Caenorhabditis elegans: one gene and its partners. The protein of the gene in region 1 purifies or fractionates together with the protein of each later gene. This does not show direct contact. Each region holds a gene or a part of one and is shown in the gene's direction. Other genes may lie near its edges. The genes, in order: arrd-14, parp-2, gtap-1 and twk-36.

The links.
Region 2: the proteins of arrd-14 (region 1) and parp-2 fractionate together in Caenorhabditis elegans (co-fractionation; one large-scale study listed by BioGRID). This does not show direct contact.
Region 3: the proteins of arrd-14 (region 1) and gtap-1 fractionate together in Caenorhabditis elegans (co-fractionation; one large-scale study listed by BioGRID). This does not show direct contact.
Region 4: the proteins of arrd-14 (region 1) and twk-36 fractionate together in Caenorhabditis elegans (co-fractionation; one large-scale study listed by BioGRID). This does not show direct contact.

The regions. Positions count from the first base shown.
Region 1 is NC_003280.10:13,750,811-13,756,804, forward strand, and holds arrd-14 (Arrestin C-terminal-like domain-containing protein), read left to right. Parts: upstream 1-1,505; 5' UTR 1,506-1,509; coding exon 1,510-1,673; intron 1,674-1,732; coding exon 1,733-1,820; intron 1,821-2,898; coding exon 2,899-3,186; intron 3,187-3,784; coding exon 3,785-4,217; intron 4,218-5,255; coding exon 5,256-5,353; 3' UTR 5,354-5,457; downstream 5,458-5,994.
Region 2 is NC_003280.10:9,591,263-9,595,641, forward strand, and holds parp-2 (Poly [ADP-ribose] polymerase 2), read left to right. Parts: upstream 1-1,774; 5' UTR 1,775-1,784; coding exon 1,785-2,340; intron 2,341-2,384; coding exon 2,385-2,462; intron 2,463-2,553; coding exon 2,554-3,251; intron 3,252-3,300; coding exon 3,301-3,425; intron 3,426-3,472; coding exon 3,473-3,632; 3' UTR 3,633-3,866; downstream 3,867-4,379. Other genes in the region: putative tRNA pseudouridine synthase tag-124, read left to right, coding at 144-189, 241-368, 416-540, 585-822, 872-1,022, 1,072-1,592; E02H1.5 (uncharacterized protein), read left to right, coding at 3,965-4,022, 4,067-4,291, 4,342-4,379. UniProt on the Caenorhabditis elegans protein: Poly[ADP-ribose] polymerase modifies various nuclear proteins by poly(ADP-ribosyl)ation, a post-translational modification synthesized after DNA damage that appears as an obligatory step in a detection/signaling pathway leading to the reparation of DNA strand breaks and programmed cell death.
Region 3 is NC_003280.10:5,828,175-5,834,834, reverse strand, and holds gtap-1 (Dynein heavy chain 7, axonemal), read left to right. Parts: upstream 1-1,598; 5' UTR 1,599-1,602; coding exon 1,603-1,659; intron 1,660-1,704; coding exon 1,705-1,824; intron 1,825-1,870; coding exon 1,871-1,974; intron 1,975-2,023; coding exon 2,024-2,096; intron 2,097-2,148; coding exon 2,149-2,283; intron 2,284-2,328; coding exon 2,329-2,804; intron 2,805-2,812; exon of another isoform or gene 2,813-2,903; coding exon of another isoform or gene 2,904-3,752; intron 3,753-3,809; coding exon of another isoform or gene 3,810-3,950; exon of another isoform or gene 3,951-4,317; coding exon 4,318-4,648; intron 4,649-4,732; coding exon 4,733-4,903; intron 4,904-4,947; coding exon 4,948-5,068; intron 5,069-5,117; coding exon 5,118-5,290; intron 5,291-5,336; coding exon 5,337-5,521; intron 5,522-5,878; coding exon 5,879-6,044; 3' UTR 6,045-6,153; downstream 6,154-6,660. Other genes in the region: Transmembrane GTPase fzo-1, read left to right, coding at 1-307, 357-468, 514-984, 1,031-1,165, 1,214-1,295; col-74 (Nematode cuticle collagen N-terminal domain-containing protein), read right to left, coding at 2,904-3,752, 3,810-3,950; ZK1248.11 (E3 SUMO-protein ligase NSE2), read left to right, coding at 6,249-6,494, 6,542-6,660.
Region 4 is NC_003283.11:17,743,111-17,749,051, reverse strand, and holds twk-36 (Potassium channel domain-containing protein), read left to right. Parts: upstream 1-1,992; 5' UTR 1,993-1,997; coding exon 1,998-2,104; intron 2,105-2,299; coding exon 2,300-2,643; intron 2,644-3,143; coding exon 3,144-3,409; intron 3,410-3,451; coding exon 3,452-3,593; intron 3,594-3,645; coding exon 3,646-3,879; intron 3,880-4,165; coding exon 4,166-4,320; intron 4,321-4,365; coding exon 4,366-4,626; intron 4,627-5,221; coding exon 5,222-5,401; downstream 5,402-5,941. Other genes in the region: R12G8.1 (Phorbol-ester/DAG-type domain-containing protein), read left to right, coding at 1-3, 652-971.

The DNA.
Region 1 (5,994 bases):
AAAAAAAACTCAAGCCGCTGGCCGAATTTCACTTCTTCTCGGCCATGTTGCAAATGTCGACCTACTCCGGCCTCCACAGCGTGGCCTAGAAAACTCGGAAGCTCTTCCATGAAGATGATCGGTGGCCGAATTTTTGTGTTTCTTTTCTCGGCCACGTTACAGGAACTCTTCCCCGACGATTTGTCGCTGACAAAAAAAATACGGTGGCCGAGTTTTTTCCTTTTCTAGGCCATGCATGGCCTAGAAAACGCAAAAAACTCTTCCACGTGATTTTTGTGTAGTTCCCGCCAAAGCTACAGTGCCCATTTAAAGGCGCGTTCCGTATTTTTTAAACAAAATCAACCGCTTAGTCACCGATAATCTATTCTTATCACGGATCACATGATCTCCTTTCGGCGGGAAATTCCAAATAATCCTTTTTTTTCTCGTAATTTGATAATAGCGAGGCGTTTTTTTAAAAATTACTTTTTTTGCTTCCCCGGTGCGGGGGCCCAACCCAAAAACGGCAATTTTTGATCAAAAGAGATGAGAATTGAAAAAAGAAGATGAAGAAAGGAAATGACCTCAAACAATAAATGGGGGGAATCTGTTTCCAATCTCATGTCTCTTTTTTTCATGTCAACAGCCATCCCCTGCTGTCCCCTCTACACAGTTACATTTTTGCCCCCGCGCGCGCGCTTTTTGTTTGGTTTTCTCTGGCATTTTCTCAACAAGTTTTCGATATTACCGTGTTGAACACCTCTCCAGGTTTTGTAAAGTAGGTGGCCGAGTTTTTATTTTTCTCGGTCTCGTGTTATTGTGCGCTTTAGCTACATGGCCGAACTTTCTCCTTGTGCTGGCCTGTGTAAAAAGCGGAGTTTTCTAGGTGAACAGAAACAAGTTGGTGGCCGAGTTTTCTCTATATTTTTTTTTCTGTTCAAAATTTGCTCTTACAACAGTAGTTCTGTAAGGTCAACACAAATTGATGGCCGAGTTTTCCCTTTGGCATAGAAAAGTTGGTGGCCGAGTTGTCTCTTCCACGGCCACATGACGTAGCAAACCTGTACACAGAGTACTCTCTATGGCCTAGAAAAAATTTTGGTGGCCGAGTTGTCTCTTCCACGGCCACGTGGCGTAGCCTACCTGTACAAAGAAAACTCTCCGTGGCCTGGAAAAAAGTGTTGGTGGCCGAGTTTTCTCTTCCACGGCCACATGGCGTAGCAGACCTGTGCACAGAATACTCTCCGTGGCCTAGAAAAAAGTGTTGGTGGCCGAGTTTTCTCTTCCACTACCACATGACATAACAGACCTGTGGCCAGAGTACTTTCCGTGGCCTAGAAAAAAAATTGGTGACCGATTTTTCTCATTTTTATATTTTTTTAAATGCATATCATTTACGGCAAACTGTTATAATTCTATCTCAGGAAGTTTTGGAAAAACTCGGCCACGCTGAAACTCGAATTTTCTTCTTACTATGAGCTCACAGTAAGCTATATAAAATCACATTTTTAAGAGTAAATTTCCAGAACCATGACCATAGCCGACTGTGATCCTCAAATTTCATTCGAGAAAGAGGTTTACTTCCCGGGCGATGAGGTCAAAGGCCGTGCGTGGGTGTCTACCACGAAGAACTTGAAGGCGACAAGTGTGGAAATCACGTTTTCCGGAAAAACTATCACTGCTCATAATGGAAAGTTCGTGTTTTTTTTGACAAAAAAAATTCCGGGTATCGAAAAAAAACTTGGTCTTCCAGAAAAATCATCAAGGACAAGAAGTGCAAGAAGGGAGAGGAGACCTATGTGGAGATGAAGCACGAGGTCTGGACTCCGGAGGATACTGAGGTGAGTGGGGAATCTAGTTGACCAGGACTGGGAAAATTAGGCTTGGCTTTTAGGCCTATAGTCCTCGGAGGGTTTTCAATTTGGGAAATTTGCCGTTTTGCAGGTAATTTTTATTTTCGAGCAAATTGCCAAAATGCCGGTTTGCCGAAAACTTTTGGCAATTGCCATTTTTCCCTCGGCAAATCAGCAATTTGCCCGTTTGTCGATTTGCCGGAAATTTTCAATTCCGGCATTTTTCCGCTTTGCCGATTCGCCGGAAATGCTCATTTTCGGCAAGTTGCCAATTTTCAGAATTTTCAATTCCGGCAATTTGCCAATTTTCCGATTTGCCGGAAATTTCCTTTTCGGCAATTTGCAGATTTGCCGATTTACCGGAAATTTCAATTCGAGCAATTTGCCAGAAATTTTTAGTTCCGGCAAATTGCCAATTTTCTGATTTGGCGGAAATTTATATTCCTTCAATTTGCCGGAAATGCTCATTTTCGGCAATTTGCCAATTTTCCGATTTGCCGGAAATTTTTACTTTCGACAAATTGCCAAATTGCCAGTCTGTCGAAAACTTTCGACAATTGCCATTTTTCCGGCAATTTCGGAAAATCAGCAATTTGTCGTTTGTCGTTTTACCGGAAATTTTCAATTCCGGCAATTTGCAGATTTGCCGATTTGCCGGTAATTTTTATTTTCGAGCAAATTGCCAAATTGCCGTTTTGCCGGAAATTTTCTTTTCGGCAATTTGCAGACTTGCCGATTTACCGGAAATTTCAATTCGAGCAATTTGCCAATTTTCCGATTTGCCGGAAATTTTTAGTTCCGGCAAATTGCCAATTTTCTGATTTGGCAGAAATTTAAATTCCTGCAGTTTACCGGAAATGCTCATTTTCGGCAATTTGCCAATTTTCCGATTTGCCGGAAATTTTCTTTTCGGCAAATTGCCAAATTGCCGGTCTGCCGAAAACTCGGCAATTGCCATTTTTCCGGCAAATTCGGCAAATCAGCAATTTGGCCGTTTGTCGATTTGCCGGAAATTTTCAATTTCGGCAATTTGCCGATTTGCCGATTTGCCTATCAATTCTTCCAGAACACCTTCCCATCCGGAGACTACGAGTGGAACTTCTCGTTCGAACTTCCCAAGGACTGCCCACCGAGTTTCGAGGGAAAATACGGCTTCATCAGGTACTCGGTCTTGCTCCACATTGCCGTTCCAAATGGAAAACCCATAAACGTGGAACGAGCCGTCACAGTGTCATCGATGGTCGACCTGAATGCTGTGAATGCACATGAACCGGCAAAGATCCACGTGGACAATGTTGCGGAGTACTGCCACTGCCTGCCGTGCCTGCCGACGAGGGGAAATGTCATTTATACGGTTTGTGCACGTGCTGTCATCAGAATGTCCCATTACGGTTTGATCTACAAAAACGCTGCAATTTTTTTGCCCGAAAAAATGTGACGTCAGCACGTTCTTAACCATGCGAAATCAGTTGAGAACTCTGCGTGTTTTCTCCCGCTTTTTTTGTAGATCAACGTAGATCAAGCCGAAATGAGACACTCTGACACCACGTGTTTGTGTTATTTTTTTACAGCGTTATTAAAAAACACTCCGAAAAAATTTAGATTTTTCATAATTTCCGGTCAAAGTTTTGGCACATTGCCAAAATCACGTGGTGTCAGAGTGCCTCATTTCGGCTTGATCTACGTTGATCTACAAAAAATGCGGGATCTGATTTCGCATGGTTAAGAACGTGCTGACGTCACAATTTTTAAGGGAAAAAGTTTCCCGCACTTTTTGTAGATCAAAAAGAATTTTTTTGGTCGACTTCCAAAAAGACTTCCAAATGAGTGGCAAAAACTGAGAAATTGCCACTTTTTGAGAGTAAATAAAAATCTTCAAAATAATTTTTGAACAGTTTTTTTTAGGATATTCGGTCATTTTGGCACCATATTCGGCATAATCGATTTTGCAGCTTCAATCTCCAAAATGTGGTTATGTCGCAGGCGAGAATGTAATTGTGTCAGGACAAATCGAGAACGGAACCTCAAAACCCATGAAAATCATCACTGCGAAACTAACAAGAAGAATCACATATCGCGAGGAGCTCAAGGCAAAAGCCAACGCAAAGAAGAAGGCTGATGGAGCCGACGGGTTCAAGTCGAAGCTCGAGGAGCAGATCCTTGAGACGAAAATCGAACGATGCAATGTTCCGGCGAGATCCAGCAAGGATTTCGCCTTCTCCTTTGATATTCCGGCTGTAGTGAGCACAATTCGTTCCTCGAGGCTTCTAGCGGTGGAGTACTTTGTGACAGTCTGGGGAGATACTGGAACGTGTAACCGGGGAGGAGTAGCTGCATTGAATATTATCGTTGGGAATGTTCCGCTGTTTTTAGGCAGCTCTTCACGTAAGTTTTAGCCAGAATTAAGAAAAAGTTGAGAAAAAGATGAGAAGTTCAGAAGCCACTCTGGTACAGGGGTGTGCGGCAAAATTTGAAATTTGCCGAACTCGACAAACTCGGCAAGTCCACATTTTTGAAATTTGCAAAGCTTGGCAAACGACAAGCTCGGCAAATTCTGCAAATTTGCCGCACATCCGTGCTTTGATAGAATCGAACGAAAACTAGTGAACTCAGTTTTCCCATTAATTTTTGCACTTTTTGAGCTCCAAGAAATATTGCCTCTTTTGGTAGATCATAGAAGGTCCCGGGCATTCTTGTCATATTACGGCGCGCCGCGGTTTCATCTAGTTTGCCGGTTTGCCGGAAATTTTTATTTTCGGCAAATTGCCGGTTTGTCGATTTGCCGAAAATTTTCACTTCCGGCAGTTTGCCGGTAATTTTCAATTCCGGCATTTGACCTATTTGCCTATTAACCGGAAATTTTAATTCTGGCACTTTGCCGATTTGCCAGAAATTTTCAATTCCGGCAATTTGCCGGTTTGCCGGAAATTTTCAATTCCGGTAATTTGCCAGAAATTTTAAATTCCTGCAAAGTGGCGCTTTTCCGATTTGCCAGAAAATTTAAATTCCTGCAAAGTGCCGGGTTTCCAAAAATTTTCAATTCCGGCAATGTGCCGGTTTGACGGAAATTTTCAATTCCGGCAATTTGCCAGAAATATTCAACACCTGCAATTTGTCGGTTTGCCAATTTGCCAAAAATGCTCAATTCCGGCAACTTGCCGATTTTCCGGAAATTTTCAATTCCGACAATTTGCCGGAAATTTTCAATTCCGGCCAATTGCCAGAAATTTTCAATTCCGGCAATTTGCTGATTTGCCGGAAATCTCAATTATGGCAATTTGCCGATTCTCCGATTGCCAGAAATTTTCCGGAAAAAAACCTATATGCACCTCTGCTGACAATTTTTGGCAATAAATAAACTAATTTTCCGGTCAAAATCACTGAAACATGAGCACTCAAATATAAACAAACTCTATTTTCCAGTACCCCCACGCAAATTCGTCGATGGAGAAGATGCGCAGAGCTGGACGGTCGATATGAAGCCGGTGTTCACCTATCAAGTGCCGTATTATGGGCATTGAGGTCTTCTGTCTTCCCTGAGCTTATAAAATACCATTGTTATCACATGCTGCTATTCCGTTTGTTTCTTTTGATGGAATTCATTTTTAATAAAAGCATTTGTTTGACATCTATAAAAAAGTATCTTCTAGCAATTTAATTGCACTAGGCTGTTCTCAGAATACCCTCCAACAAAATGGGTTTCTCATTTTCGTTCTTTTTTCCCTTTTTTTCGACGTCTCTTTCCGTTTTCTCTGTTTCTCAGCACTCTTTCCGTCCATTTATCAAGGGTTCGTGCGTCCTCTGCCGGCATCAAACCACACACACACACACACACACACATTTTTTGTTCAATACCTTCTAAAATAGTGTAACTAACAAGAAATTAACAATAGGAATTGAGGTTTCAGGGATTTAGGCTAGAGTTTAGTTTTTTTTTTTTTTTTTTTTAGTTCTTTAGTTTTTTTTTTACTTAACAGTTTTGTCTGAGGAAATATTTTTCTGAGTAGTGTGTGTTAGTCACCCCGATTTTGCATTTATTCCTAACAAATATATAATAGGCTGGGTTTTGAAATTCTATTTAAAAAAAAACTGGTCCTATAAAAACGGACGATGAAATTAATGAATTTTTTTTATTTTTAGCATGTTTTAAAGCTATTTTTCT
Region 2 (4,379 bases), 4.2 Mb from region 1:
GACTAAAAAACAATTCTAGTCCGCGCGTCGTGTACTCCTCTCAGACAAACAGAAGTTGCACAATTTTTTGAAATCGATCCCTTTTAATCACTTTTTCCTATTCTTCTAGCGTTTAATTATTTTCTATTGATTTTATTTACACAATGGGGTCAAAAAGAGTATGCCCAGATGCAAATAATTCTGTAAAGTGTAAGTTTTAGGCCTGGGCTGAATATTAAATCTGAAAATAATACTTTTCAGCAAAAAAAGCAAAAACCCTGGATTTTCTCGCTCATCCTCGACGGAAGATTGCAATTCAGTTTTTCTATTTGGGCTGGGAGCATGATGGGCTTGTTCAACAACCGCATACACAAAATACGGTGGAAAATGTAAGAATTCTAAAATACTTTATTTAAATAAATTAAAAATGTTTCAGCATATCATGCAGGCACTAATAAAAACTCATTTAATTGAGGACTGGACGAAATGTGATTTTTCGCGTTGTGGACGGACCGATAAAGGAGTTTCCGCATTTAAACAAACTGCTGCAATGGTTGTTAGGTTTAAAATTTTTTTACTGAACTCGTTCTCATTTCAATTTTCAGATCTCTGTGTCCCGGTGACTCAGGAGTGTTTTGGTCAGATTCTACGCAAGAGCATCAAAAAGTGGACTATAAAGCTAGTGGAGAAGAGCTTCCCTATGTAAAAATGCTCAATGGAGTTCTTCCGAAAACCATCAGAGTCTTCGCCTGGGCTCCTGTCGCGCAAACGTTCAATGCCAGATTCGATTGTAATAGAAGAACATATAAATATTCTTTTGCTAAAGCTGACCTTAACTTAGAGGTTGGTGTATTTTCATTATATTTTTATCTTCAAATTATTATTTATTTAGAAAATGCGTCAGGGCGCGGAGCTATTGGTCGGTGAGCACGATTTTTCGAATTTCTGCCAAATCGATATGAACGAGAAAAGACTGCTGCAGTCTTATGTTAGAAAAGTCTATGAAGTCAAGGTAGAACAAGTATCGACTCATCCAGAAAATGGTATTGTTTATTTATTCAGAGAGTTTAGTTTTGACAAGTAAAACTTTAGATATGTATTCAATGGTGGAGCTCACTGTATCTGGAAGTGGTTTCCTTTGGCATATGATTCGATACATAGTCACGATCCTTCAAGAAATTGGAAGAGAAAATGAACAACCATCATTAATCTCACAGCTTCTTGACCTGAAAAAATATCCGAGCCGGCCGCAGTACACCTTAGCCTCGGACACTCCTCTATGCTTATTCGATTGTGGATATAAATCTGAAGATGTTGAATGGAAAGTTCATGACTATACACTGAAAAGTACAGTGACCGGACTACAAAAAACCTGGGCGACGTATCAGGCGAGAAGTCGAATGATGGAAAATATGCTCGGAGAACTGACTGGAATGGCTGAATTCAGTTCAGGAGATGCCAATAAAGGACTTCACGAATTTGTACAAGATCGTCCGATACCTTCAAATTACATAAGGTTTGAGAATAGGAAAATGTGTGAAAGCCTGGAGAGCAAGAAAGAGAAAATGGCAGAAAAGAAGAAAAATGGAGAAGAATCTTCGGATAAACTATGAGAGTTTAATTGTTTTTTAAGTTATTAATACGGTTTTGTTGTTGATTTTTTTGTTTTTAAAAATATATGTTTCTGTTTTTTGATCAATTTTTTCCTTTTTGTTTGATTTATTGGTTTCTGAAATCCAAATTTATTTCTGAAAATTGTAAGAAGTTGTCTTTATAATCGAATTTCCATTTCCAGCTAGACAGAAATGTCTATAATCAACGACGAAAATGGAAGAGGCTATAAAGTACATCTTTGCAAGACGAATATTGCACAGAACAACAATAAATTTTACGATATGGAATTGTTGGATGAGGGAGGTGATTTCATTGTGAAGCTTATCAATGGACGTATTGGATATCGTGGTGTCACACAATTAAAAGATTTCGATGACCTCGACAGAGCCAAGAAGTTCTTCGAAAGCAAATTCTACGAGAAAACTCATCTTCATTGGGAAGAAAGAGACGATGAACCGGTTCCCAATAAATATGCAGTCGTTGAGTTGGCTACTAACGCAAGACAGACTGAAAAAGAAGTTAAAAAGGAGGAACCGGAACCTGAGCCGAAAGTTGATGAGAAAAATACACGTGGAAGGAAGAAAAGAGGAATTGTTAAAGAAAAGAAAGAAATCAAGAAAGAAGAGGAACCAGTTGAAGAAGTTAATGAAAAGCTGAAGGAATTGATGAAATGCATCTGCGACGAAGATGTTCATCTGGGACTCTTGAAACAACTGAAATTTAACGAAGCTTTTGGAAGACCAATTGGTGAGTTTTAAAAAATCGTATTAAAAAATTAGAGAAAAATTCAGATTGCCTCTCACTTGCCCAACTCACCACTGGATATGAAATTTTGAGTAAGATTGAGGAATCGATTGGAGGAAAATCAGGTATTTTATGAAATTTTGTAAATTTGAAGTTTTAAGTTGAAAAATCTAAATTTAGGCCATTATCTTCCCTGAAAAATGGAAATTCTTTTAGCTCGAAGATCTACTCGTGGCCGGCCACGAGTAGCTGACCGTGTTCTTGCTGTTAAATCCGATGGTCCATCTCTTCACGACATCAACAAATATTATTCTCTCATCCCTCATTCATTTGGTTTCTGTGTTCCTCCAAAAATTGATTCTCATGCTAAAATTCAAGCTGAACGAGAGCTTCTGGATGCACTGAAAGGATCAATTGAAGCATCACTGGAACTGAAGGATTTGAAAAAGACAGCATCGTCGAAGGATATTTATCAAAGACTTTATGAGCGCCTCCCGTGCCATTTGGAGCCAGTTTCGGAAGAAATTGCAGGAAAAATTGGAGACTGCTTGGCTATGCGTGGACCCACTCATTGTTACAAGCTTTCACTCATTGATGCATTCGAGTTAAAGGATCCAAATGAAATTCCAACTGAAGCTCCAGTTGAAGTTCAGGAAGTTCCGAAGAAGAGAGGACGAAAGAGCACAAAGACCGCTGCTCCAACTGTTCCACCACCAACTACAAAACGCCTTCTTTGGCACGGTACTCGTGTGACAAATGTCTTCTCAATCCTCATGAATGGACTTCAGTTCCCAGTTGGAGATCGCTGTGGTCTGATGTTCGGAAATGGAGTTTATTTCGCAAATGTTCCAACTAAATCCGCGAATTACTGTTGCCCAGAGGCTTCAAAGAGAGTTTTCATGCTTCTTTGCGAGGTGAGAAATCCACTGAAAATTTCACAATTTTCAATTTTTTCTATTTCAGGTTGAAACTGCGAACCCATTAGTTCTCTACGAGTCAGAAATTGACGCGGATGAGAAAATGGAAAAAGCGAAAAAGACGTCGGTTTATGCAGCTGGAAAGCACACTCCAAGAGACACTGTTGAAATGTAAATTCTGATTTTTTTCAAAAAATTCTTATCCATGAAATTTTCAGCAATGGAATCCCGGCATTCAAGTCAAATCTTGAGACAATCGAAGAAGAAACTCGTCTTCTCTACGATGAATATGTGATGTTCAACAAGGAACACTTCAAAATAAAATATGTTGTCGAAGTGAAAGTGGATCGTCTTACCGCTAAGGAAATGATGGCTTAAATGCTAATTTCTCATGTAATCTCTCACATTTTATCTGTTTCTACCTCTCCATTTAATTTTCTGATCTGAATTTGTCAAGCTTTTGTAACTTTTTTTAAACCTGTTAATCCAATGATACTCCTCATTTTTTTAAAATCACATTCCTGGAATTTGTTTTTGCTCAAAATCTCATCTTTTTCGGTTTCACTTCATTCATTTTCTGCTCATATCAAAAAACAAATGTATTTTTGAAGCAATTTAAATTTTTCTCTAAAATTCTGAAGGTGTTGCTAATCCTTTTTATATTTTTTGAAGCTGATTTTCACAAGCTTAATCAAAACGATTTTCAGAAAATGTCCAGAAGAAAATTGAGAGCAGTGGAATACGATCGTGACTATATTAATTTCGATGGTAGTATTTCAGAAATTGTTCTACAATAATTAACCAAATTCCAGACGATAATGAGATTCGCCGTCTAATCGTCACTGTCGAAGAAGCCCATCTGAAGTGTCGTGATCAAAATTGGTCTGCTCAGATGCTTGACGAGCAGGATGTAGCTAAATGGACTGTGGAGCTTGAAAAATATTTTACCGAGTTTGGTGCACCGTCTGGATGCTCCAGAGCGGCGGCGATTGACTATGTCTTGAACGCTGCTGTTCAAAAGATTTATGAACAGAAAGGTTTGCAAAATTAGGTGATACGTTTAAATACACGATATCTGTATTTCCAGGCGGTGACACTGAACTCTGCTCGAGTCGGCTCAGAGAA
Region 3 (6,660 bases), 7.9 Mb from region 1:
TCCACCAGGACTTTCAATGAATGCCGTGTAAACTTCACTCAATTTGAAAAAGCTTACCGTGAGCAGACAGAGCAACTGCGAGCCGAAGTTCATCTGAAAGTTTCTGCTGATTTCTTTGAAGAAATAGCACGACTTGATGCAATAATTGATCGATTTGAACAACCTTTCGATGGAAGCTCTTCCGGAATGACAAAGTATAAAGAGGATTTGGCAATCTTTGTGGACAAATGTTTGAGCAGTGATTTGGAAGCTAGATGTACCGGTGGCCTAATGTCAAGAATTTGGAATTTGGAGAATGATATGTTCCGTAAGTGTTTATCTGGGAACTGATGTGTTATAAAAAATTTTTTTTCCAGAATATGTGACAAAAATCCTCGCCGAACCTTATCAGAATAAGCTTGAAGAAGTGTGGCGATATCGTGCTCCTTTCAAATTTAGCATTTGTGTCGATGTCCCTGCTCTTGTCAAGTGAGTTTCGATGGATTTTTTGTGTTTCATTCTTACATTTTTCAGTGATTTCCATGAAGACCTCGAGTTCCGATTCACATTTGGTCTACACGCAATAATTCGTCGCATCATTGCGTATCGAAGCGGCCAACCTGTCACTGCAATCAACACCAATTTGCTTACTCCATTATCACTAAAACAACAATCCGAAAAGAATTCAGTGAGAGATGCAGAAGCTTCTGCAGCTTCCGAAGAACAGGCAATGATGACTCAAATGGTTTTGACATCAGCCGCATTTTTAGCAAACGGAAGTCTTGGAGTGCTAGTTGTTGGTGGTATTGTGTATAAGGCTGTTGGTTGGAGAGTAATTGCTGTCGGAGGAGCGGCCTACGCTGGACTATATGCATGGGAACGAATGCGCTGGAATTCGGGAGCCAAGGAACAACATTTGAAAGAACAGTTCAGATCACATTTAGCTGCTCGAATGCAACAAGTTTCAACAGCTCATACTCATCACTGTGAAACACAAGCTATCAGGTATTTTTTAAACCGTATAGTTTTCAATTCAATTTGTTGTTTTCAGAGAAATGGACCAAGTCTTTGACGGATTGAAAGCAACTGTTGGTGGAGTCCATAGAGAAATGAAAAACGATTTGGATGTACAGAAGACACAAATTGATGCAGTTGATTCAACAATTCGAACATTGGGAACAATCAAGTATGTCCTCTTAGATCTGTGTCAAGAATTAATAAAATTAATTTTCAGAGGAAAAGCAGTGTTTCTTCTCCGAAATCTCGAACAATTTGCATCTTCTTATCTCCGATCGGACTCTCCGCCAACGCCATGAAAATGACTAGTCTGAATTTAACTAATTTTGGTGCTTTTCCCCTTATTCACTCAGTCCTATAGCTTTTAATTCGAACGATTGGTAATCGGTTCAATGTAGATATTTTGATGAGCTGTTTTCTCGTTATTTCTAGACAATTTCAGTAGTTTTAGTGTTTTGATTATGATACTTCTATGAGACGAATAATAATTCGAATAAATTTTTGTCGTTTGATTTTTGAGAAGATATTCAATTATCTGTATTTATATTCATCAGAATTTCTATTTATGTGTTGTGGTATTTGAAAATAGGAAAATATAATTCAGGTATGAATGAAGACGACGATGTTGGAATTTCTGTGGAATTCGATCAATGCACGCAGGAGGTACTGTAGGGAACCAAATATAGAAATAGTTAGAACAAATTTCAGACAATGTTCTACAATTCTTGTCTAGAAGATCGTGACGAAGGAGGAAGCGGAGACATCTCACGTGCTGATTCTGCAGTATGTCTCACGACACCTAGAGATCCGTTTCCAGCTGTTCTACAGGTAATTGAAGATGAACGAAAACTTTTTATAAACTGTTTTTTTTTAGAAGTTCAACTCATCTCGTAAGAATCATCAAATAAAAAAGTTTCATGATAGCAATGTAAAACGATGTCAAGAGTACAGAAAGAGTATGGAACATCAAAGAAATGGGTAAGAAATTCGGATTTTCAAAAACGAATATTAATCATTTTATTTTGAGAACAGACAGTTATTTGCTCACTCAACAACGGCTCGCTGTTCATCTCATCGACTTTATTGATTTACCTGTTAAAGTTAGTTCAAAAACTAAAATAATTTTTATCAAAAATAAACGTTATAATTCAGAAAAATACTCAACGAAGAATATGCACTGATCGTGTGTCGATGCCTCTATACAGATTGACGTCTGGTGGTCTTGAAGTGAACTCGGATTATTATTTTCCAATGGAATCTCCGTATGCGAATATTCAAAAATCTTATGTAAATTTTTAATATTTCTTCTATCAATTATTTAAGTTATTTTAGCTACGAACACTGGCCGACCACCTCACTCGAACTCATCGGAAGCTTAACGAAATATGTGAATTTGTGGAGAGATGTGAAGAACACAGTCAACTGATGCTTCCGACACTGATTACTGTACTCTGTGATTGGGTGAAACAATTTCTTAGAGATCACGCTTGTCATCTCGACGAACTTCGTGCTGAGCGACTGGAAGATCCTTTACAGACATTGGCTCGACTAAATAAAAATATGGAAGAGGTGGAAATAGTGAGAGCAGTGATTGGCGATGATGTTGGAAGACATATTTGGTTATGGGAAGATATTGAAAACTCTTGGAATCGTGTATTCCTGTTAACACAAATGGATGCCATCGCAAAGAAGAGGGATGTTGTCAAGTTGTTACAAAATAAATGGATTCGCGCTTTGTTGTCAATTATGGATCATATTTTCGAAATTGGAAGAGTTCCTGCAGCTATCGACTATTTTGTTTTGCACAAGTGAGTTTCAATTTTATGATTTTTAAAGTTTTAAAACGTAAGATTCTTGCTTGAAAAATTTATATAAATATTTAAGAGAAGAAAAATAAATAATCGCATCTAATGACGTCTGTTCTTGTATCCCTGGTTTCCATTGACTGGTGCACTTTCCTGTCTTTGAGGACATGGACAATATTCGGCATCAGTTCCTGGCTCTCCCTCCTCTCCTGGTGCTCCAGCAGAACCGTTCTCTCCATTATCTCCCTTGTCTCCACGTGGTCCACGCTCTCCTGGTGCTCCTGGAATACCTTGAGCTCCGGTATCTCCTTGTGGTCCTTGATCTCCTGGTTGTCCAGTTGGTCCAGAAATTCCCTTTGGTCCTGGAAGTCCGACTTGATGTTCGACATCAGCTCCTGGTTCTCCTTCTGATCCTGGTTCTCCTTGTGGTCCGACTGGTCCGACTGGTCCGAGGCTTCCTGGCTGTCCTGGAGTTCCGTCACGTCCTGGCATGGCTCCTTGTCCGCGAGCTCCACGCATTCCACGAACTCCTGGCTTTCCTTGTGGTCCTTGTGGTCCTTGTGGTCCCTGTGGGCAAGTGAAGCATCCTGCATATTGTTGAGTTTGAGCTTGAGCATCGTCAGCATCCTGTCCATCGATTCCTGGCACTCCTGGAATTCCGTCGATTCCGTCAGATCCTTGAGCTCCCTTTGGTCCAGCTGGTCCAGCTGGGCACGAATTGTCAGCCTGGCAGTTGCAAGATCCTCCTGGATTTGGTTCTCCTCCTTGTGTTGGGTTGAATTGTGGTGGCACTCCGACAACTCCTGGGAAGCTTCCTGGATTCATTGGGGATGCGCCTCCTGGGAATCCACCGTGAGGTGTTGGGTTGGCTCCAGAAGCTCCATATCCTCCATACTGACGTTTAACACGGCCGAACTTTTGCATATCACGATAGAGACTGTCAGTTTCAAACTAAAATTTCACATTTTTATTACTATATAACATATAACGGACTTTATATTTACTTACCTTCCATGCATCCATCTCAATATTCATCTCATTTCGGATATCTTCGATGTTGGAGCTGATACCTTGAACAGCAAAAAGAATGAATCCGATCGAAACGAGTCCGACGGTAATAGCCGCGTATGCAGTAGCTGTCGACGTCATATTCAGACTTGACATAATTATCAGATTTCTCTCATTGCTTTTTATACTTTTTTCTAGCTATGGTCATTCATCATTCAACCTGTTTTCAGAATTTCCTCCAAAAATTCCATCATGTCAATTCTCAAATTTCTCCAGCGTTTTTTAATTTGATTTCCATGCGAAATATTGCATATTCGGAAGAGATATCTAGAGAGATATTTGCATATTTCACTTATTTCCGCTAGAATGGCCATGAGATAAACGGGTTGATATCAGGGTGTGGAGAATAAGTGATTAGTGATGGTGTTTGAAATGTTACTAATAATCAAAATAATCTGAAAATTATAACGAAAACTCCGTAAATACTAATTTAAAACTTTATTTTTAGTGACGTCAAACCGGATGCTCAAATTCTACTTTGTCGAGATATCAAAGAAGTTCAATCGTTACTTTGGGATGAAGAACTGATTGAAATCATTCTTGAAGCAGTCAAATGTCGGATCCGTGTTGGATTAATTGAATTTCCAGTCAAAACATTCACGAATGCATTTGATTCATTACGAGCCGCAGCTAAATTCACTGAAGATCTTCTACCATTTGATGAATTCCGATCTCTATTTTTTGATACATGTCTCCTACTTCAGGATCAGTTTGCACAAGAGCTACTCAATGAATTACATAGAAACAACCGATTTGTCAACTTGTGGGTCGACTTAGAGGCATGTGATTTAAATTTACTGATAAAAAAAAATATTATCAGTTCGGAGAATTGATGGGTGTCTGACAAAAACTTTTTCTTTCAGAATGTTGTCATTGGTTCGATTTCACAGCAATATGCAACAACAGTCTTCCGATCAGATTCCAATGTTACCAACTTTGCTGATGCATTTTGGTTGGCATCGAGAGGTCGGATGAGTAAGGAAAATATGAATATATTCTCATGGATTTCAACAAAATCTGAATTCACATGCAAGGTATTAGCATTGGAATAAAATTTTGAAAATTAAATGTTTTTCAGCTCGAGCATATGCTGGCTTCATTCATTCGTCCCGAAGTTATTGACGTCATGAATCAGTGTATGAAGTTTGCACACAGCGCATATCGAACCAGAGAATTGCTAGTTACGATGGCTAATGACAGTGAGCTTTTCAACCGGTCAAGGATGTAATTTTACATTTTTTGTTTCAGAAGAACTACTATCTCGAATGAAATGTCCACAATCCACAATCGATGTTTCTCTCGCTCATCACAAAACGAATGCAATCGAGAAAATGAATCGAGCACTTAGAACAAAACTTCGTTTCTTTGTATTCACACTCGAACAAGTTGTGTCACATTTCAGAGAGTTGTTCTCTGATAAGGTTTTCTTAAATATCTTTTTTATAATTTTCAAATATCCTTTTCCAGGTTCGCTATGTATTTCGAACGGCACGTGATCAAATTGTGAATGCAACAAGCTTGAAGCAGGTGGAAAATGCGATTACAGATGGTCACAAGAAGCTCTCAGATCTTGTTGTACGCATTGGAATCAGACGATTGGTTCATGAAAATATGGATATGTTTATGACTATGACAGATGAGATACGGTTACGGTAAGTTATACAATTATTAAATGCAAACATTTAAATTAATATTTTGGCACTTTCAATGCCATTGGATTTAAATTTCAACTTTCAGATCAGATCAAAAAGTTTTTCCACCGAAAACACAAAAAAAGCAACAAAAAACCAAAACTAAGAATTATTAAGTTTGAAACTTCATTTTGAAAATCTAAAACAAGTTGACCAAAATTGTACTTTCTTTTAAAATTTCGACTTTAATTTTTTTCTACTCAAAATTGTTTTGTGAAGCATAATTTTTCGTATTTTTTTCCAAAAAAAAAAACATTTACAGCCATGACTGCAGCTTTTTTGATTGAGCTTTTTAAAATGAAAAATTACTATTTTCAGATCAGTCTCCAACACGTTGGATCTTGACTATTTGGATCGATGTGAAACAAGTGTTCGAATTACTTTACAAAAGCTGCTTTCTCTACACGAAGCTTGGGGAAACGACAAAGATTCCATATTTTTCCATCTTTCTGTCCGAATAGGAAAATTGAATATGGGTACCTAATCACTTCTTATTCACTGCCTGGTTTTTATCGCCTTATGTTCAAAATTTTCATGCATAATCACTTTCTGAAAATATGGGTTAATTCAATAAAAAATTTTAAATTTTAAATGTTCATTTGTAGGCTAATGTTATTCGTATATAACGATTTTTGAATTATCTTTTTTTGTTATTTAGAAGTTCAATAAGTTGTGAAATCCCTTCCAGATGTCTACCCAGCTCGCCACTAGTATGGAAATTATTCGAAAAAGTCTGAGAAAGGCTGCTGAGGATGTTCTTCATATCAATTCAAAAAATGCTATTTCAAATGAAGTAGATTCTGAAGAATTCAAAGAAACATTGATGAAAGATGCAATGAAGTTGATGGAATTGGAGACTGAAGGTGCTCAAATGCAACACATTTTTGAAGCGTTGCATAATGACCTGAAAGATGGTTCAGACGAGGTTCCGAATGTACGTTGCAGATATTTAAACAAATTATATTAATAATAATTTTGCAGGAAAAAGCATTGGAGGAGTTATACGAGAAGGCGAAAAAAACCCATAAAAATGTGAAAGGCGAGCGACAGTACTTCAAAGACATTATCAAATCTATAAGGGATGAAAGTAAAAACGATGA
Region 4 (5,941 bases), on another chromosome or scaffold:
TAGGTGAGTTAGTTGAAGGGTACAAAAAAAATTTTGCCACCTCATGGGCTCGAACCCCGGTGGTGTGCTTGGTAGTTTTTGGAAAAACCCACTGCGCCATTCGGGCATTTTTTTTGAAAACTTGTAAAAATGATCATAATAAGAGAAACACTAATTTCAATATATAATTTCTAATTTCGATGTAACAGTTTTGGATTTTAAACAATTTTACAACTTTCACGAGTTTTGAAAGTCTATTTTCAACGATTTCTTAAAACTTTTACGCTCGGACATATAGAAATTTGAATTCCACGTGTCTGAAATACCCAAAAATATTTTAGAAATTCGAAAAAAAAAATATTTGACCACAGGTCGGACTCGAACCCTGGTCGTAAGATTTGTTGTTCTCGAAAATCCCACTGCGCCATTCGGGCACTTTTTCCTTAAAACCTGTAAAATCGTTTGTTCATTTACAAGCTGGTCTTTATATGTCTAAACACTGCGTACAAAAATATTTGACCACATGGCGGGCTTGAACCCCGGACTTGTGCGCGATAGTTCTGGAAAATCCCACTGAGCCATTGGTGCATTTTCTCAAAAATTAGGCAAAAGCTAGATTTTAAGCACGGAACCTGATTTCTAGTGAATATTAGTTCATATTTCATTTTCCAGGCTGTGAGACAGTCGTTCATAAGCGGTGCCATGCCCTCATCACCGCCCGCTGCACCTTCGGACCATCTTCCCGAGCTCCGGTTCCTGCTGAAACTACAAATCTGAAAACTCGTCGTAGCCGATCTGCTTCGGAAGAACCTCCATCAAATACTCATCACTTTAACAAGCATTTCTTCACTCGCCCGACATTTTGTGATCACTGTGGAAGTATGCTCTATGGGCTCACGAAGCAAGGCGTTCAGTGCACGGATTGTCATGCAAATGTTCATTTTCGATGCCAGGAAAAGGTTTTGAGGAATTGTGGAATTCAGTGTCAATAAATATTGAAAAAATTGAGAAAAAAAATAAAGAAAAATGAAGAAAATTGGAGAAAGTTAAATTTGATAATCAGTCATAAACTCATATTGTTTTCCGGAATAAAGTTATTATAGTTACAATTGAGGCTCATAAACATCATAACAAAAATATTTGTCACTGTGCGGGTTTGAACCACGGACCTCTGATTGGAAGACATTAAAAATCCCACTGCGCCAATCGGACACTTTCCCGAAAGTTCGATTAAAATGACTTTTGCAGCTTGAAATTTGTTAATCACAGCTTGCAAAAAATAAATACCCTTGTGCGGACTCGAACCCCAGCCGTTTGATTGGAAGACGTTGAAAATCCCACTGCGCCAATCGGACACTTTCCCGAAAGTTCGATTAAAATGACTTTTGCAGCTATAAACTTGTTAATCACAGCTTGCAAAAAATAAATACCCCTGTGCGGACTCGAACCACTGACATCTGATTGAAAGACACTAAAAATCCCACTGCGTCATTAGGACATTTTCCTGAAAATTCGCTAAAAATGAATTTCCCAACTCGAACCTCAATTTCTAAAGCTTGCAAAAAATAAATACCCCTGTGTGGACTCGAACCCCGGACCTCTGATTGATAGACATGGAAAATCCCACTGTGCCATTCGGACATTTTCCTAAAAATTCGATAAAAATCACTTTTGCAGCTATAAACTTGTAAATCACAGCTTGCAAAAAATAAATACCCCTGTGCGGACTCGAACCCCGGACGTTTGATTGGAATAAATTCAGAATCCCACTGCTCCATTCGGAAATTTTCTCGAAAATTCGATTAAAACGTTTTCTTTCGTTATTTTAAAGTTTTTTCAGTGTAAAAATAAACTTTTCACACTCAATTATGTCATACATACCATATAAAAGTTAAAATATTCGTTTTCAGTGTAGTTTTAGTCTGAAAACCCCCACCAAATTTGCATTTTAAATCGTCGTCCGTTGACGTCTGTTCTATGTGTTCATTTCATACTTTTTTGTCAATTCCATGTAAAAAATGACCGTAACTTCTGAAAAAGACGGGTTAAAGAGTATTTTGAGTCAGAAGTATACGGTGGAGCGGAAAGATACCGTGCAGCATGTGCTCGAAGGGCCCGGTTTGAGGTTTGTTGGTTTTAATGAAAACATTTAATTAATTTTTGGGAAAATAAGAAAAACCAGGGAAAAGTGTATAAATTTTCAAAAACTTGAATAATTTCAAAAATATTTTCAAAAAAAAATTCCAAAAAAAAAAAATTTCAAAAAATTTTTTTTTTTTAATTCGAAAAATTCCAAAATTGTTTAATTTCCGATTTCCAGCCGCAACCAAAGCAATGCCAGTGTCCTAACCCTCCCAGGATCCCGAAACACCAGCTCCAACCACTTACCGGCTCAACGGAGCACCTCCGTGGATGAAGTGGCTAGGCATCGGGTCACTTATGAGATGGATGCTGGAAAATCTGAAAAATCTGAAAACCAGAATCCAATCTCTCAATATTATCAGAAAAATCATTATACTGTAACAGGAAATCAGGAAACTTACCAAAAACTTCCCAGGAACATTTCGGCGAACAGATTTCAAGTGGATAAAGCTTCAATTAGTCAGAAAAGTGCTCCGCGAGCCAGTGAGCCAATGGAAATGCCAATGTTACCTCAGGAAAGGCGTAAGTCAGTTTCAAAAAAAAACTACAATTTCCTAAAAGCTATCAAGATGTTTATACGACAAATTAAAAGTTTAGCAGAAAATGTTGGCGGAAAATTTAAATTTTTGAGCAAGAAGTTCAAGTTTTATAAAGATGATTCTTTTAAATTTTAAACTTCACTAGATGATTGGGCGGAAAATTCACATTTTTTCGAAAAAATTTGGCGGAACATCGAATTTTTAATAAGAAAACTTCGGCGAGAAATTCAAAATTTCTCAGAGATTTTTTTTTTCAAAAAATGTATTTTACATTCACATTTTCTCAAATAATTCAGCAGGAACGGCAAGACTTTTCAGAATTTTTAAAAAATAATTTCAAGTTTTCCTGAAAAGTTTTGGCGGGAAATTCAAATTTTCTTTAAAATTTTGACGAGAATTTCAAATGTTCCCAGAAAAATTTAAAGAATTTTCAATTTTTTTAAAAACTAGATTTCGCCCTCACCGACTAAAATTTTTTTCCAGAATTCGACAAATCCTTCTACTGGTTCGCAATGCACCGAAAAAAGTTCGGGCTCCGCTACATAGCTTTGCTGGTTTTGGCGTTGATCTACACACTTTTAGGGGCGACGGTGTTTTATCTGATAGAGGGTTCGAATGAGAAATCGAGACTGCATGTTCGGGAGCAAAACCTAGATAAGTTGTTGGATGAGCTAGCAACTGTGCTCTCAGAAGCCGTCAATGACCCGGAGCAAAGTTCTGAGCATCAGAGGATGAAGGAGTTTATAAAAGTATGGTGGTTTTGAGAAAGCTTGCCGGGATTGTCATTTCAGGAATCCTACATTTCCCTGCAAAAACACGAGGAGCAATACAAATGGAGCACATACTATCGTCTAGAGCACCCTGACAATCTCAAATGGACATTTTCAAGCGCATTTTTCTTCAGTATGAATGTTTACACAACTACCGGTTATGGTACCTGATCCAATTTTCTGTAACTTCAGCCCAATTAATTCCAAGGTTCCAGGTTCAATCTCAGCTCAAACCTTCAGCGGTCAGCTTTTCACAATGATCTACGCATTTTGTTTTGTACCGGTGACACTGGTGATCTTAAGGGATCTAGGCCAGATGTTCTTGGTGAATTTCACAAAATTGTACGCGCACGGGTTGACAGCGGTGAGGAGGATTCGTGGAAAGCGAGAAGTCGATGAGGATGAGATTATACAGCTGCCCATCAAGTTTTGTATGACTATTCTGATAGGTTAGCGGAAAGACCTCTGAAGCTTCGAAGATCTTAGAAGTAGCTCCTGTAGCGTCAAAATGCTCAGAGCTAGCATGTACCCGACTTTGTTTAAGATACCTGAGCTTGACTAGGCTATCCATAGTTTGTTAGACATTCTAACCTCGTCGAAACTTCCTAGAGTCAGCCAGGCAAGCCTAGGCTACCTAGGCTCTCTAACTGTCCTTGAAGACGAGTCTTACATGGTTCAGGCCATCATTTAGCCCGCGGTCTCCAACCTTACCCATCCTCGGTTCCAACTTTCCAGCCTACCTCCTCCTCTGCACCACGTTCGTGTACCTCTACGACGCCGTTATGGGCCCGGAATGGGACGACGGCCTACCGTACTTCACCGCATTCTACTTCTCTTTCATCTCTCTCACAACTATTGGTCTAGGCGATGTGATGCCAAATAATGTTCCGGTAAGCTTTTTGTACCTTTTGTGTTGCTTAATTTCAAAATTTCAGTACGCCCCGCCGGTCTCGATGATATTTTTCATCGGCATGGCAGTCACAAAAGTTGTGAATCGAGCAACATTTATTGCAGTGGAAAATGGGGTTTTTGGCCTGATGACCTTGGCGGAAACCAAGATTAGCATGCTCTTGACGGAACGGAAACCTGGTGTAAAAACTGTCAGATCAACATCATCAGGGTCTTCAGCAGAGTCCGTGGATTCAAAAGAGCCACGTGGATTTGATGGGGACTCGGATAGTGGATCGGATGATGGGGTAAGTCAAGCAGAAGATCAGAGAACATATTATTGCATAATTTGGAACTATAGTCACTCTGAAAAGTAAAAGAATCAAGTGAGAAAAAGTGGGTAAAACTGATAACGTTGGAAGCGTTATTTAAAGTCTGAACATGAGCTTGAGAATAAGCCTCAGCTTAAGTTTAGGCCAGAGTCTAAGCCTAAGCTTAAGCCAAAGCCTAAGCATAAGCCTGAGCCTAAGCTTAATTTCTCGAGTTTCTAGTACCTAAGGATAATCGGCCAACAGGAACCCCCTCAAAAATAATAAAAAAACCGGAAAATCCAAAGCCTAAATAGCGTCAGTAGCGAGCCAACGCTCGCCACTGACGCCAAGCCTGAGCCTAAGCCTAAGAGTAAGATTAAGCCTGAGCCTAAGCCTAAGCCTAAGCCTAAGATTAACCAAAGCCTAAGCCTAGACCTAACCCTAAGCCGAAGCCTAAGCCTAAGCCAAAGCCAAAGCCAAAGCCTAGTTCTAAGCCTGAGCCTAAGCCTAAGCCTGAGCATGAGCCTAAGCTTCAGACTAAGCCTAAGCCTGAACCTAAGCCTAAGCATATGCCTAAGCCTCATACTTTCAGGTAATCAACCGCCGCCGAAACGAGATGATGAACACCTTCACCGTCCGATCAATTGCCACATTCATGCGTTCCAACCATGACGTCTATGGTGGAGGATTCGGAAGAGTTCAACTAAGAAGAGGAGACCTTATGAGCTCTAATGCTTTACATACTGTACCTTGGGTCAGACCCTTACCATAATAAATTTTTCAAACCTTTTCTTTTTCGACCATCAAAGATCCAAGATTGTTCTGGCGTCATTCCAGGGAAAAATGAAAATGAAATGAAAAAAGCGAACTGGGAACAAAAATAATATGTCCACTTGTGGAAATTAACTTTCTCTTTAGTGTCCTCAAGTACAAATATACAAATATGTTGCATTTCTGGACAATTACAGACCATCGGCCACGTAATTTAGCCGACGAAAAAAGTGAAATTATTGCATAGGGGGATGAAACCGTAGCGGAAACCAAAAAGGCGGCGCCTGAAGAAGAGAAGCATAATTATAGTGAAACTTAGTGTTAATTGCCTTCTCTACATTGCCTTGTTTCACATCATTTTCTCCTTCCCCTCATCATCATTCATCAGTCATGGGCATCCGTATCACTTTTCCAGATGTTCGTTGATTCTGGTTTTTTATTTATTATGTGAATTTGTTCTGATCTTTTCTTTTTTTGCGGATTTCCTTATCAGAAACTTTTCGGCTTTGAAGATTAGAATATGCTTTTTTATGTTTCAAAA